Linked DNA regions of Saccharomyces cerevisiae S288C. The gene in region 3 interacts genetically with the main gene of each other region. Each region holds a gene or a part of one and is shown on either strand. Other genes may lie near its edges.

The links. A genetic interaction does not mean that the proteins touch.
Region 1: mutations in VAM7 (region 3) and ARL1 together harm fitness more than expected from each alone (negative genetic interaction), as found in Saccharomyces cerevisiae (4 studies listed by BioGRID).
Region 2: mutations in VAM7 (region 3) and AVL9 together harm fitness more than expected from each alone (negative genetic interaction), as found in Saccharomyces cerevisiae (4 studies listed by BioGRID).

The regions. Positions count from the first base shown.
Region 1 is NC_001134.8:567,350-571,457, reverse strand, and holds ARL1 (Arf family GTPase ARL1), read left to right. Parts: upstream 1-3,031; coding exon 3,032-3,583; downstream 3,584-4,108. Other genes in the region: TYR1 (prephenate dehydrogenase (NADP(+))), read left to right, coding at 258-1,616; UBS1 (Ubs1p), read right to left, coding at 1,773-2,606; EXO5 (Exo5p), read right to left, coding at 3,978-4,108. UniProt on the Saccharomyces cerevisiae protein: Recruits golgins such as IMH1 to the Golgi. Can bind and hydrolyze GTP. May be involved in trafficking events within the endosomal system.
Region 2 is NC_001144.5:374,419-380,358, forward strand, and holds AVL9 (Avl9p), read right to left. Parts: upstream 2,821-5,940; coding exon 526-2,820; downstream 1-525. Other genes in the region: cleavage polyadenylation factor subunit CFT2, read left to right, coding at 3,567-5,940. UniProt on the Saccharomyces cerevisiae protein: Functions in the late secretory pathway. Required for the generation of secretory vesicles as well as for actin polarization and polarized growth.
Region 3 is NC_001139.9:89,481-94,146, reverse strand, and holds VAM7 (Vam7p), read right to left. Parts: upstream 2,716-4,666; coding exon 1,765-2,715; downstream 1-1,764. Other genes in the region: Rab family GTPase YPT32, read right to left, coding at 1-355; NCS6 (Ncs6p), read right to left, coding at 556-1,635; SKI complex subunit WD repeat protein SKI8, read left to right, coding at 2,900-4,093. UniProt on the Saccharomyces cerevisiae protein: Essential for proper morphogenesis of the vacuole. May exist as structural reinforcement on the surface of the vacuolar membrane and be required for maintenance against rupture by osmotic pressure.

The sequences.
Region 1 (4,108 bases), on a different chromosome or scaffold from region 3:
TTTTAGCGCTCATTGTTATTGTATACTATTTATAGCTAACAGTTTATTATTAGATTTCCTCTAATAAGCGTTATACCAGTGTAGTAAGTTTATCACTTCAGCTATGTGTCATTTTTTTTTTTTTTTTTTGAGGCCTTATATGAAAATAAGCTTTGAAGAAAGTGATACTGGAATTATTCAAACCAAGAAAAGTTTTTAGAATTACAAGAATACCGTAGCACTTGAAGGAAAGAGGACAGCATATCCACTTGATAAACATGGTATCAGAGGATAAGATTGAGCAATGGAAAGCCACAAAAGTCATTGGTATAATTGGTCTGGGTGATATGGGCCTATTATACGCTAATAAATTTACAGATGCTGGATGGGGTGTTATATGTTGTGATAGGGAAGAATATTATGATGAACTGAAAGAAAAATATGCCTCAGCTAAATTCGAACTGGTGAAAAATGGTCATTTGGTATCCAGGCAAAGCGACTATATTATCTATAGTGTTGAAGCATCCAATATTAGTAAGATCGTCGCAACGTATGGACCATCTTCTAAGGTTGGAACAATTGTTGGGGGTCAAACGAGTTGTAAGCTGCCGGAAATCGAGGCTTTCGAAAAGTATTTACCCAAGGACTGCGACATCATTACCGTGCATTCCCTTCATGGGCCTAAAGTTAATACTGAAGGCCAACCACTAGTTATTATCAATCACAGATCACAGTACCCAGAATCTTTTGAGTTCGTTAATTCTGTTATGGCATGTTTGAAAAGTAAGCAAGTTTATTTGACATATGAAGAGCATGACAAGATTACCGCTGATACACAAGCTGTGACACATGCTGCTTTCTTAAGTATGGGATCTGCGTGGGCAAAGATAAAGATTTATCCTTGGACTCTGGGTGTAAACAAATGGTACGGTGGCCTAGAAAATGTGAAAGTTAATATATCACTAAGAATCTATTCGAACAAGTGGCATGTTTACGCAGGATTAGCCATAACAAACCCAAGTGCACATCAGCAAATTCTTCAATATGCAACCAGTGCAACAGAACTATTTAGTTTAATGATAGATAACAAAGAACAAGAACTTACTGATAGACTATTAAAAGCTAAGCAATTTGTATTTGGAAAGCATACTGGTCTCTTACTATTGGATGACACGATTTTAGAGAAATATTCGCTATCAAAAAGCAGCATTGGTAACAGCAACAATTGCAAGCCAGTGCCGAATTCACATTTATCATTGTTGGCGATTGTTGATTCGTGGTTTCAACTTGGTATTGATCCATATGATCATATGATTTGTTCGACGCCATTATTCAGAATATTCCTGGGTGTGTCCGAATATCTTTTTTTAAAACCTGGCTTATTAGAACAGACAATTGATGCAGCTATCCATGATAAATCATTCATAAAAGATGATTTAGAATTTGTTATTTCGGCTAGAGAATGGAGCTCGGTTGTTTCTTTTGCCAATTTTGATATATACAAAAAGCAATTTCAGAGTGTTCAAAAGTTCTTTGAGCCAATGCTTCCAGAGGCTAATCTCATTGGCAACGAGATGATAAAAACCATTCTGAGTCATTCTAGTGACCGTTCGGCCGCTGAAAAAAGAAATACATAATGTTTTTAATGCTGATTTCCTATAATATTAGGCCTTCTTTTGTGAAAAGGAGTATATTTATATAACTGAATAAAAATATATATTGTGACAAATGCCCATGCAAAAAATCGTGAAAAAAGGAAGAAAGTTCTACTATTCTATGTAAAAATAAACCCATTAGATTTTTTTCCTCTTTGTGTAATGCTCACTACCGCGATTATCGTTCGTTTCATCTGGACATGCCAACGTTCTTGACCTTTTAGAACTTACGACCGGATGAATACTGTCATCATCACATGCAAGTAAGTTTTTGGTCATAAAGTCGATAGCATTGTAGTCATGTGTCCTTTTGTTAACGTTATTATTGTTGAGAGTAGATAACATACTAGACTTTCCTATGCTGCTGTTAGTATAAGGGTTCTTGCTGTTGTCTTGTGCGTGAAAGGTGTGGCTTTGAGCATTGTAAGAGGACATAAATTCATTGACACTGCCACCATTACTATTGCTGATATTATGATTTTTGGAATAGCTCTTTACTATAGAGTAATCACCTGGTTGTAAAGTACCTATCAGTTCCGGAAAATAAGATTTAAAGTCCTTATATATAATCCTATTCCACGCCCTGTTGAATTTTACCGTTGACGGTGAATACTGTAAGTCTTCCGTTGCTTGAATATGAAAAAGCGGTTGCCATATGTGGAAAAGTAAATCCTGTAATCCCAAGTCTTTCAATAAAAGATAGTTTAAGTGTGTCATCGAAACCGTTCTGTTAATTGGAAAGCAACAATTTGGAGACAGACATTTCATGATGATATATGGATCCTGGTCGTTTCCGCCAATATAAAGTAGTAGATATACTTCCAAAGAAGTCCTGGGCTCGTACATTACCACGTGCCAAAGATGTAAGTCTGAATCATGTGGCCTTACATGAAAAAGACCTTGGGTCTTCTCAGGATGGCGCATAAAATATTTCCAATCCTTCAGCAATTTCCTTGTTAAAGAGTAAGCCATAATTATTAGCTTTTTGATTAAAATATAAAAAAATCTGTTTAGCTCTTATATCGCCTCCTCGCACAAAATCACGACAAAGGCAACGTTAGATTGATGCTCTCAAAACATACTAAGAATGTGTTCTATGATATATATGGGAAGAGTAGGTTAAATATTTCTTATGACAATAACAAAACCCACTGCATCGTACAGGACGGGTAACAGAGCCCTTTCCAATTGAAATTTTGAATAAAACTATTTTGCCTATAAAAGTTAGATTTACGACAATTAATATTAGGCAGAATGTTCTCGGAACTTTCAAGTAGTAAAGGATTGCGTGGTTCATTTGTATTTACGAAACGGTGAGTAATAAGGTTTCTAAAACCAAAGGAAAAATAAAGAAAGATCTAAGAAGAAAGTTCCAGTAAAGTGAGTTATAGATCAAGATGGGTAACATTTTTAGTTCAATGTTTGACAAACTATGGGGTTCAAACAAAGAATTGCGTATATTGATTTTGGGTTTGGATGGTGCAGGTAAAACTACCATCTTATATCGTTTACAAATTGGCGAAGTAGTCACTACAAAGCCAACCATTGGTTTCAATGTAGAGACGCTAAGTTATAAAAACTTAAAATTGAACGTCTGGGATCTTGGTGGTCAAACAAGTATCAGGCCCTACTGGAGGTGTTATTATGCAGACACTGCTGCAGTTATTTTCGTTGTTGATTCGACTGATAAAGATCGTATGTCTACAGCCTCTAAGGAACTTCATTTGATGTTACAGGAAGAAGAATTGCAAGATGCAGCACTGCTGGTTTTTGCAAATAAACAAGACCAACCGGGTGCATTAAGTGCCAGTGAAGTCTCCAAAGAACTGAATCTTGTAGAATTGAAGGACAGAAGTTGGTCTATCGTAGCATCCAGTGCAATTAAAGGCGAAGGTATTACCGAAGGTTTAGATTGGTTGATTGATGTTATAAAAGAGGAACAGTTATAGCGATAAAGATTTGCAAAAAAAAAGTGTAGATGCATACTTTTTAAATGGCATTGAATATACATATAATTTGTTTTGTAACTGAATTATCAAGGAGCTCTATCCAAACATAATAGAGTTAGTAAGTGTATACATGTTTCTCTTTGGGTTTTAATTCTAAAGGCAATTACATCGTTCCGATGAATGAGAAGGCCGCATTAAAATACCTAATGACCTCTTAATGAAAGTTGCATATATACATTTAAATTAAATTGTCATTTCAATTCCGATTTATTGAAACAGGACGTCCGAAAGCAGAAACAGATTTATGTGCTTAATAACCCAATAAAGGACTTCAATGTATTCACGAAACAACACCCTTTTAATAACTAGAATAAATAATGTTACAATACCTACACTACTTCATACTTGATTCAAGAATAATTTTTTTTAATTCTTTCCCTAGATCAATAAGTTTCAATTCATTTTTATTTTTCCAAGAACAAACGTGTCTGTAGTCACAAAACTTACAGTATGTGTTGAAGTTTT
Region 2 (5,940 bases), on a different chromosome or scaffold from region 3:
GCGGGGAAGATTTTTTTGCTCCGACAATTATGTCGCTACCCTTCAGTTTTGTTGAAAATGATGCTTTTATCGTTAACTTTACTTATCTTTATTGTTTGCAAGATTACTATTAATATTAAAGAGGGTCTAGCAAGGATACTGCGATTGTTTCTAAATATTTCAACTTTCTACGTTATTCATCTTTAGGAAGCTAAAAAGCATTCAAAAGATTACTATGAAGTTAATCTTTAAACATAGTTTGATGAGCGTCTATGCAAATAGAATAACTTCAAAAAATTTTCTATTCCATTTTTGGAAAGCCCCAAAAAGCTATATTCTATAATTTCTGAATCTTATTGTGCTTGTGGAGGTCACCCCAGTTTTCTATAAATTATTATTCAGCTATTATCCCAATACGACTAAAGGTATTGAGATTCACGGATATTTTTTCCCCTGCAACTTTCACAACTGGAGGGCTCTGTTTCTTGATTTTCTTTTTGTCATATAAACATATCTTAGCGCGATTGCTAACAAATAGTATAGATATCATAATTTTTCCTCATCCTGCACACAATTACCTATAGCAGCGTCATTCGCACCGCCCTCCTCATTGGATTTTTTAACTGTATTTCTCGTTTTAGATGAGTCTTCAACATTTCTATCGTTTTCATAAATATCAGTTTTACTGTCGGAATTTTTATTGCTCTCAGGACCACCTTCAATATCTTTATCTGCAACGGTTTCGTCCTCATTAAAATTTTCTGCATTACCCTCAAAATTCTGTTCATTTTCTTTATCATGATCAGTGTTAATGTTCGTAACGTCTGTAAAACCATTGCTAAAATCTTGACTGTCTTCCTTATCGCCATTTTCATCGCCCTCACCGTCATCGCCATTTTCATCGCCCTCACCGTCATCGCCATTTTCATCGCCCTCACCGTCATCGTCATCGTCATCGTCCTCACTATCATCGTCATCACCACCATCATCATCATCATCCTCAGAGTCCTCATCAGTATCATCATCTTCATTGTCCTCACTATTTCCCACCTCTTCACTTTGTTGATCTGTCTCCGCATCAGGTTTATAATGTAAACCCAAGCCCATCATAGCTTTCTGTATCGCGTTCGATGTTTTACTTCTGTTTTTGAGATCTTCTGTGGATTCAGTAACATCTTCATTAGCAGTATTCTTTGGTTTATTGAAATATTCCTTCCATGAATTCCATAAGTTGGCTGCTGGCTTGTCTGTATTCTTTCCAGGATTTACAGAAATTTGGGAAACAGACTTTTTTGACTCGATGCTTTCCTGGTCTTTGATATCCTCCTCGCTTTGATGACCATTTTTATTGCTTGAAGAGTTGCTAGAGCTTCTTTTTAAATTATGAAATGTGGCCAAAAATCGTTGCTGTAATAGAGACAGAGTGTCGGCACCGTTATATATATGCTTCGGAGGAAACAAGTCGAACAATCTATCATCTGTTCTTGAGTTGAATATCAGAAAATTTTGAGTCTCTTTCCAACTCTGAACCCAATTCAAATTGAATAAATGAACGGGATTGGAATTTAGCATATCCTCAGGTATAGTCTTCAAAGCTTGATCATTCTCTTTATGCAGGTCCAAATAATCACTTAATTTAACACTGGAAAGTAACCCCGTTAAATAGTCCTCGAATTGCCACCTAATGAAATCCTCACTGCCTTCAAATTGAGAGTTTTTTGGAGTTTCATCATCATTTTCGTTCCATGTGTCTGATACAATTCCAGATATAGATTCAATCCATTTTTTATCATGACTTGACAATTGGAGGACGGGGTTCAAAGTCTTGTCCAGAATATCTACAGTGGAATTGTCTGTATTGACAAATATGTGGCACAGTTCCTCCTTTTGTTCAGCAAGCAATGTGTTGGAACTTCCAATCATAAAAAACAAAGTACGTTCTGACCGTATGTCATTCATTTGCTGCAGTGGAGTATAGGGTGAAAATAGTCCACCTTTTTCGAAAATCGGTAATGGAAAACCTAAGAATCTCAACACTGATTCTCGATTGCTTGATTTAAACGAGTCCACAACATTTAATTTCGAAATATCCTGAAACAACTGAGGACTGCCAGAATCCTGCAAATTTGACATCAAGTCCGGAATTAAGCTGATCAGACCGAACTGTAAATTACACAAAGCTTCCACGTCGTTGCCGTAAACTATAATTTTTTTTTCAAGCATAATTGCTTTCAATAAGACTAAAGCGTTTCTCTTAAAATCATGTAGTATCTTTCTCAGACATAACCCAATATAAAGACGATTTTCGGCATTTCTGACCAATGATGCAGGCGTGTAAATCGACTTCAGGTTTTCGTATAAAGACTGGATTATCTTCCTGTCCCCAAAATCATGCTGCAAGAAAAAAGCATTAGTCACAATACTAAGTTTGTCCTTGATTTGACCGAAGATTGGTTGCCTTGAGATGACTACAATTGCCTTCTGTACAGTAGATCGTGTTACATCCTTATCTTTAGTGACCAATTCATCACTCTTTATCTGTCTCGAGCAAGATATGGCAAACAAAGTCGTGTTGTCATTGATGCTATCATCACTCAGATCAGTTGCCCCGTTGGGAGGGCTCCTTTGTCTTCTTTCATCATATAGTAATGTGAAATAAGTAAATGTTTCTTCAAACGAGTGAGAACCATCAGGAAGGGCCTGGAAGGGTAAATTTGGCCATAGTTCTGCACTTTGGGTGCCCTCAGGTAAGCCATACCAGTATTCTATTTCAGGGCCTCTTTTGTGATGAAAGTCCACAAGGCAGATACCGAAGATGACTGCTTCCTCGTGTTCATCCATTATTTTGACAACAAGGTTGCAGCGAGGCAGAATGTATATGTTAGTTTGATATGGTCTTCCTGCTTGGATTCCTTTAAGGCTTCAAAATTTTCTTGAAAAGGAAACTTCGTGAATGAGCTGTAAGGATGCTTGATCGGGCCGTACATTCTTATGCAAGATCCATTATTGACTGCTCTCTGTTGGGTTAGCTTCCATATCTTCCGTTACCCGTTCGTATAATCATTACCCGACGGACAAGCATCATTTCAGCGGCTATTTTTGCTAGGCAAACCTCCTAAGCAATGATACTTCTCAAACGTTCAATGGAAGTAATAGAAGTTCAACTTACCCCATTAATAATCCACACATTAGAAGGTTGGGACAATAAAAATAAAAAGCATTAATTAGTGTAAACTTTGCTCCCAAATGCAAGTCTAAGGTAAGTTCTTTGGTTCATGGAGTTTTTGCAGTGTAATCTCACGTGCACTAGACTGAGTAAAGCGAACCTGAGTTCAAGAAATAATGATTCACCTATGACATATAGTCCAACTATACAAGCAATGAACCCTTACGGATTGAAGTCATTCAATGTTCAATGTTTGTTGTAATAAGAAATATTACTAGAAAAAGATTTTTTCTTTCGGCGGCGTTTTCCCGCTTTTCTTAAACAATCTGCAGTTTTAACATCGAATTCACGAATATTTGTTCGCTAAAGAAATAACACAGAAGATGAAATGAAGAACATACATTGAGGGCGACGAATATATATGACTTATAAATACAATTGCTGTGATGATGGATCAGGAACCACCGTTGGTTCAGTGGTACGATTTGATAACGTCACCTTGTTAATCGATCCCGGTTGGAATCCATCTAAAGTATCGTATGAGCAATGCATCAAGTACTGGGAAAAAGTGATACCGGAAATTGATGTAATAATACTATCACAACCAACAATTGAATGTTTAGGTGCTCATTCCCTTCTGTACTATAATTTTACCTCGCATTTCATATCCAGAATTCAAGTTTACGCAACTCTTCCTGTTATCAACTTAGGGAGAGTTTCCACCATAGATTCATATGCATCTGCAGGTGTTATAGGTCCATATGACACAAATAAACTCGATCTTGAAGATATTGAGATATCTTTTGATCATATTGTACCTTTGAAGTACTCGCAATTGGTAGATCTACGATCAAGATACGATGGATTGACTTTACTGGCGTACAATGCTGGTGTGTGTCCAGGTGGTTCTATTTGGTGCATTAGCACATACTCAGAGAAATTGGTTTATGCAAAGCGATGGAACCACACTAGAGATAACATACTAAATGCTGCTTCTATATTGGACGCCACTGGTAAGCCCTTATCAACTTTGATGAGGCCCTCTGCAATAATTACTACTTTGGACAGGTTTGGCTCCTCTCAACCGTTTAAAAAACGTTCAAAAATCTTTAAAGATACATTAAAGAAAGGTTTGAGTTCGGATGGGTCCGTTATAATACCGGTAGATATGAGTGGCAAATTTCTGGACCTGTTCACACAAGTTCATGAGTTATTATTTGAAAGCACAAAGATCAATGCGCACACACAAGTACCTGTACTTATTCTGTCTTACGCGAGAGGAAGAACTCTAACATATGCCAAATCAATGCTCGAGTGGCTGTCCCCTTCACTACTTAAGACATGGGAAAACAGAAATAATACTTCTCCATTTGAAATTGGATCACGGATCAAAATCATCGCACCAAACGAATTGAGTAAATATCCTGGTTCAAAGATTTGCTTCGTATCTGAGGTAGGAGCTTTGATTAATGAAGTGATAATTAAAGTTGGTAATTCTGAGAAGACAACCTTGATTTTGACCAAGCCGAGCTTTGAATGTGCGTCGTCTTTAGACAAGATACTAGAAATTGTTGAACAAGATGAAAGAAATTGGAAAACATTTCCTGAAGATGGTAAATCATTCCTCTGCGATAATTACATTTCAATAGACACCATAAAAGAAGAACCCTTGAGTAAAGAGGAAACAGAGGCGTTTAAAGTACAGCTTAAAGAAAAGAAAAGGGACAGAAATAAGAAAATTCTACTGGTGAAAAGAGAGTCTAAGAAACTGGCTAACGGCAACGCAATCATAGATGATACCAACGGAGAGAGGGCAATGAGAAATCAAGACATTTTAGTGGAAAACGTCAATGGAGTACCACCGATTGATCATATTATGGGGGGTGACGAAGATGATGATGAAGAGGAAGAAAACGACAATTTGTTGAATTTACTCAAGGATAACTCTGAGAAATCAGCAGCGAAAAAAAATACGGAAGTTCCTGTAGACATTATAATTCAACCAAGTGCCGCTTCAAAACATAAAATGTTCCCATTTAACCCCGCTAAAATCAAGAAAGATGATTATGGTACTGTTGTAGATTTTACGATGTTTTTACCTGATGATTCTGACAATGTTAATCAAAATAGCAGGAAAAGACCTCTCAAAGACGGTGCTAAAACCACGAGCCCTGTAAACGAAGAAGATAACAAAAATGAAGAAGAAGATGGTTATAATATGAGTGATCCAATTAGCAAAAGGAGCAAACACCGTGCTTCTCGTTACTCGGGATTTTCTGGAACCGGAGAAGCAGAAAATTTTGATAACCTTGACTATTTAAAGATAGACAAAACGCTCTCCAAAAGAACAATCTCAACTGTAAATGTCCAATTGAAATGCTCCGTAGTAATCCTAAATTTACAGAGTTTAGTTGATCAAAGGTCTGCATCTATTATATGGCCATCGCTAAAATCTAGAAAAATAGTTCTTTCCGCCCCCAAACAGATTCAAAATGAAGAAATTACGGCAAAACTTATCAAGAAAAATATTGAAGTGGTCAACATGCCATTAAATAAGATAGTGGAATTCAGTACAACAATAAAGACCCTGGATATCTCCATTGACTCCAACCTCGATAACCTTTTGAAATGGCAACGTATCAGTGATAGTTATACAGTTGCCACTGTCGTTGGCAGGCTGGTTAAGGAGAGCCTACCGCAAGTGAACAATCATCAAAAAACAGCGTCAAGGAGTAAACTAGTCTTGAAACCATTACACGGTTCATCTAGGAGCCATAAAACAGGTGCGTTGTCAA
Region 3 (4,666 bases):
CGTTGTCATCTGCGTTCTCTCTCAGTTCGGTAAGCCAGTGGTTGCAATTTTCGTATGAACTTGATTTGCTTATATCATACACTATAAGTGCACCTACAGCACCACGGTAGTACGCAGACGTGATGGCCCTGTAACGTTCTTGACCTGCCGTGTCCCAAATCTGTGCTTTTATCTTCTTGTTTTCAACTTCAATGGTTCTTGTAGCGAATTCCACGCCAATCGTGGATTTGGATTCAATGTTGAATTCATCGGTTGTAAATCTCGACAACAGATTAGATTTACCCACACCGGAGTCGCCGATAAGAACTATCTTAAATAAATAATCGTAGTCGTATCCGTAATCTTCGTTGCTCATTCTTGGAAAACAATATGCTTGGTTCGCTCTTTATCACCACGCTTTTCCTCTCTTTCCAGCGCGAACCATGCAATGGCCAGCTTTATAGCTGATTCTTTTATTTGTCTTTATTGTGTTGCGCGTTCTAATGGAGGGCGCGCCGTACTATATTATATTATATTATGTTACGCTGCATTCTTCTACTGCGAGCTATATATATGTCAAAAGCTGAGTTTCTCAAGAGCTCTCAGCTTCAAGGCTGCACCATCGGCAGAAGTGTCATTCTCGATTGCCACTTGGGCTCTACTTTTCTCCAGTCCTTCCAGCAACATGCACGCCTTGCAAATGTTATTTGACGACAGATATCCACATCTAGCGCATCTATTGCCGTCAACAAATTTGACGACTCTCTTTCCAGCGTTAGATTTTTTAGCCTTTAATGCCAAATTTTCGCCACTTTGGATGATGTCTATAATGCAACTGGGCCTCACTGCTTCCAGATTCTTCATGTATTCTCTCGCAGTGCCCCTAAACGCTTCTGGGGCATAGGTACACTCAGTGGAAAAATAATCCAGCTTCATGTAGTGCGCATACAGGACAATTTCCTTTTGGTAAGAATATTTAAATGGTTTTGATCTCTTGATGGGAGAGCCGCTACTTTGTGTGATAATCGCAGTCGATTTTTCCAATCTTGCTACGTCACCACGTAGGATATTCATTAGTACTGTCTCTGCCATATCGTCTGCATTGTGGCCGGTGACAACGTGAGATATGCCCAGCTTTGCAGCACCACGGTCCAATGATTGTCTTCTAAAAACACCACAATACGTGCAACTGTTCCTTATACCAGCAACGGATACAATCTCATCCATTGTCCAATCATAGAGGTCCTTAAAGGAAAAAATCTCCAAAGGAAGGCCATACTGCTGCTGATTCCTTTTCACCGTGGCCAAGGAATCATCTCTGTATCCGATGATTCCTTCGTCAATACTCAACAGTACAATCTCAATGCCGTAATCGTAACGGTCATTCAGAAGCTTCAGCATATGCGCTAACACCGTGGAGTCTTTACCACCAGAGGCCCCCACGGCTACTTTTTCTCCCCTCTGAAACAAGTTATTTGCTACAATAGTGTTATGGATCTCCGTCTCGAACACGAGGCAGAAGCATTGTTTGCAAAGTTTAGACAGGTTTTTGGGTCTTCTAATGAGAGCCTTTCTTGAATGACATAGTTCACACAACTGTGATACCTTCACTTTTGTCGGTTTATTGACGGGATCTGAAGGAGCAGTAAACGACATGACGGTTCCTTTGCTTTACTCTTACCATATCGTCTCATCGCCAAAATTTTTCAATTACTAGATTTACAATTTTTTTTTTTAGTACAAATATACTCTCAGGATTTGTAACCCGGATAGTAACTCATTAATTCAAGCACTGTTGTTAAAATGTCTAGCCTTCTTGTTGGCTATCTGTAACCTCCTACCAGTGTTATCGACGTCATCTTCAAGTGCTGTAAGTAGCTCATTCTGTGTTTGCAGCTCCTCGTTCATCTCTAAGGCCAATCCACGTTGTGCCTGGATAATTCGGTGCAGTGCAACCAACTCTTGTTCTTGATCGCGCACCATTTGCATCTGCCCCTGTTGCAAATCGTTATTCGTTCTTCCTTGAACTTCCGTGGTTGAAGAGTTGTCACTGGTGGCAACCCCCAGAAGTCGTCCACGGTCCTGAGCTATGTTTGCTGTACCAATGTCATCGCATTCCTTGAGCAAGGACCTCAATAGAGCGGCGCGACGAGTCACTTCCGTGCTTGGAAGAGACTTCTTTTGCACATCCTGTTCTAGTCGCTCTCGTAACTTGTGGAGCTTCGTACGTGCCCTTAGTGCTCCACGCACGCTGGGTGTGCCATCACTCTCCTTATCTAAATCCAATTTAATATCTCTTATCATCTCATCCCATCCCACTTCGTCAGCAGTTTCTAGATGCTGCTGTGACTTTTCTTGAGAAACATTTGGCTTTGACAACTGCAGGAAGTCTTGCGCTATTTTTGTGTCTCTCCATCGAGAATCAAAACGATCGTTATACAATTCATTGAGGAACCTCTCTAGTCCGATCCGTCTTTCATCGATCATTTCCGGATCATCATATCTTCTTTGCCACCTCCTGTCCAATACACCGGGCTTTTCAGGGAAGTCATATGGGATGGTGCTTCCTACATCTCTCTCCAATCGTGTCTTCAGTTTCCAAAACTCGGAATACCTTTTGTAAAGGCGCTTGTTTGGTGTACTAACACCGTATAAAACATACTTGGGGTTGATTTTAACATCGTCCACCTTGATTCTTAACTTTTCACTCATTTTCCCTACAGAATTAGCTGCCATCAATATCAATTATCAACCCTTATATGACTTTATTGTTTTTGTTTTTGTTGGCTAATTAATTGATACAAATCTTTAGGCGAAAAATAAAAAAAATATAAAGTAAAGAAGGAAAAATTAGGCGATATTAAAACAAATCTAAAATAAAGACAAGAAACGAAAAAGAGGTTAATCAAGTATTGGAAAAATGTCCAAAGTGTTTATTGCCACAGCAAATGCAGGTAAAGCTCATGACGCTGATATTTTCTCGGTTTCTGCTTGCAATTCATTTACGGTAAGTTGTTCAGGTGACGGTTACTTAAAGGTGTGGGATAATAAGCTGTTAGATAATGAAAATCCAAAAGATAAGTCATATTCTCACTTTGTCCATAAGTCCGGATTGCACCATGTCGATGTCTTGCAAGCTATTGAGAGAGATGCATTTGAATTATGCCTTGTTGCTACCACTTCATTTTCTGGCGATTTACTCTTCTATCGTATCACTAGAGAAGATGAGACTAAAAAAGTTATATTCGAGAAATTGGATCTTCTAGACTCAGACATGAAAAAGCATTCCTTTTGGGCATTAAAATGGGGTGCCTCAAATGACAGACTACTTTCCCATAGGCTGGTTGCTACAGACGTCAAAGGGACCACTTACATTTGGAAGTTTCACCCGTTTGCAGATGAGTCAAATTCTTTAACACTAAATTGGAGCCCCACGTTAGAATTACAAGGCACTGTCGAATCGCCTATGACTCCAAGTCAATTTGCCACTTCTGTGGATATCTCTGAACGAGGACTAATTGCCACAGGTTTTAATAATGGAACAGTACAAATTTCAGAACTATCTACATTACGCCCGTTGTACAATTTTGAATCTCAGCATTCTATGATTAATAATTCGAATTCCATCAGATCGGTGAAATTTTCTCCTCAAGGATCCTTATTAGCCATTGCTCACGATTCAAATTCATTTGGTTGCATCACTCTATATGAAACTGAATTTGGTGAAAGAATAGGCTCCTTATCCGTACCAACCCATAGCTCGCAGGCAAGTCTGGGTGAATTTGCACATTCTAGCTGGGTCATGAGTCTATCGTTTAATGATTCTGGTGAAACATTATGCAGTGCCGGATGGGATGGTAAATTGAGATTTTGGGATGTAAAAACAAAGGAAAGAATCACTACATTGAATATGCATTGTGATGATATTGAAATTGAAGAGGATATCTTAGCTGTTGATGAACATGGAGATTCTTTAGCTGAACCTGGTGTCTTTGACGTGAAGTTTTTGAAAAAAGGTTGGAGATCTGGTATGGGAGCTGATTTAAATGAAAGTTTATGCTGTGTTTGTTTAGATAGAAGCATCAGGTGGTTTAGAGAAGCTGGCGGTAAATAATCTCTAGTAATATCTTGATATATTGCATGTAACCTTACAATCATCCATTATTCTTTTTGGTTCATAAAATTTCAGTAATATTTAATACCTTTAATAAGCCAATGTATGAATTTCACTTCACAAAAATAAATTTGCTAGTAATAAAAAAAAAAAATTGGTTTTTTTATGTATTTCTTAAATATTAGAAAGAGATAGACTCAATTCTTACATATGTATATGTGGAGAACTTGAAAAAAAAAATTAATAACAAAGTAAATGAGAAAAAATGATAAAGGGAAAGAAAAGGACAAGATGTTAAAAATCCAGTGCTTTTTTTTTTTGGTTTTCATTTTTTATAGTTTTTATTCCTGTCATAAAATTTGTTTAGTTTTTAATTTTCTTTTTTTTTCATATTTTTTTATTTTTTTTATTTTTTTTAATAAGATCACTCACCTAAGAGGTCCATATGGAGTACTAATAAAAAAAGTAATAATAATAATCTTTCTTCTTTATTTCGTTTTTCAAAAATTTTGTTAGCTTCCGATTTTCATTTTAGGAAAATATGTTTCTAGATTTTTTTTTTTCAAATTTTTC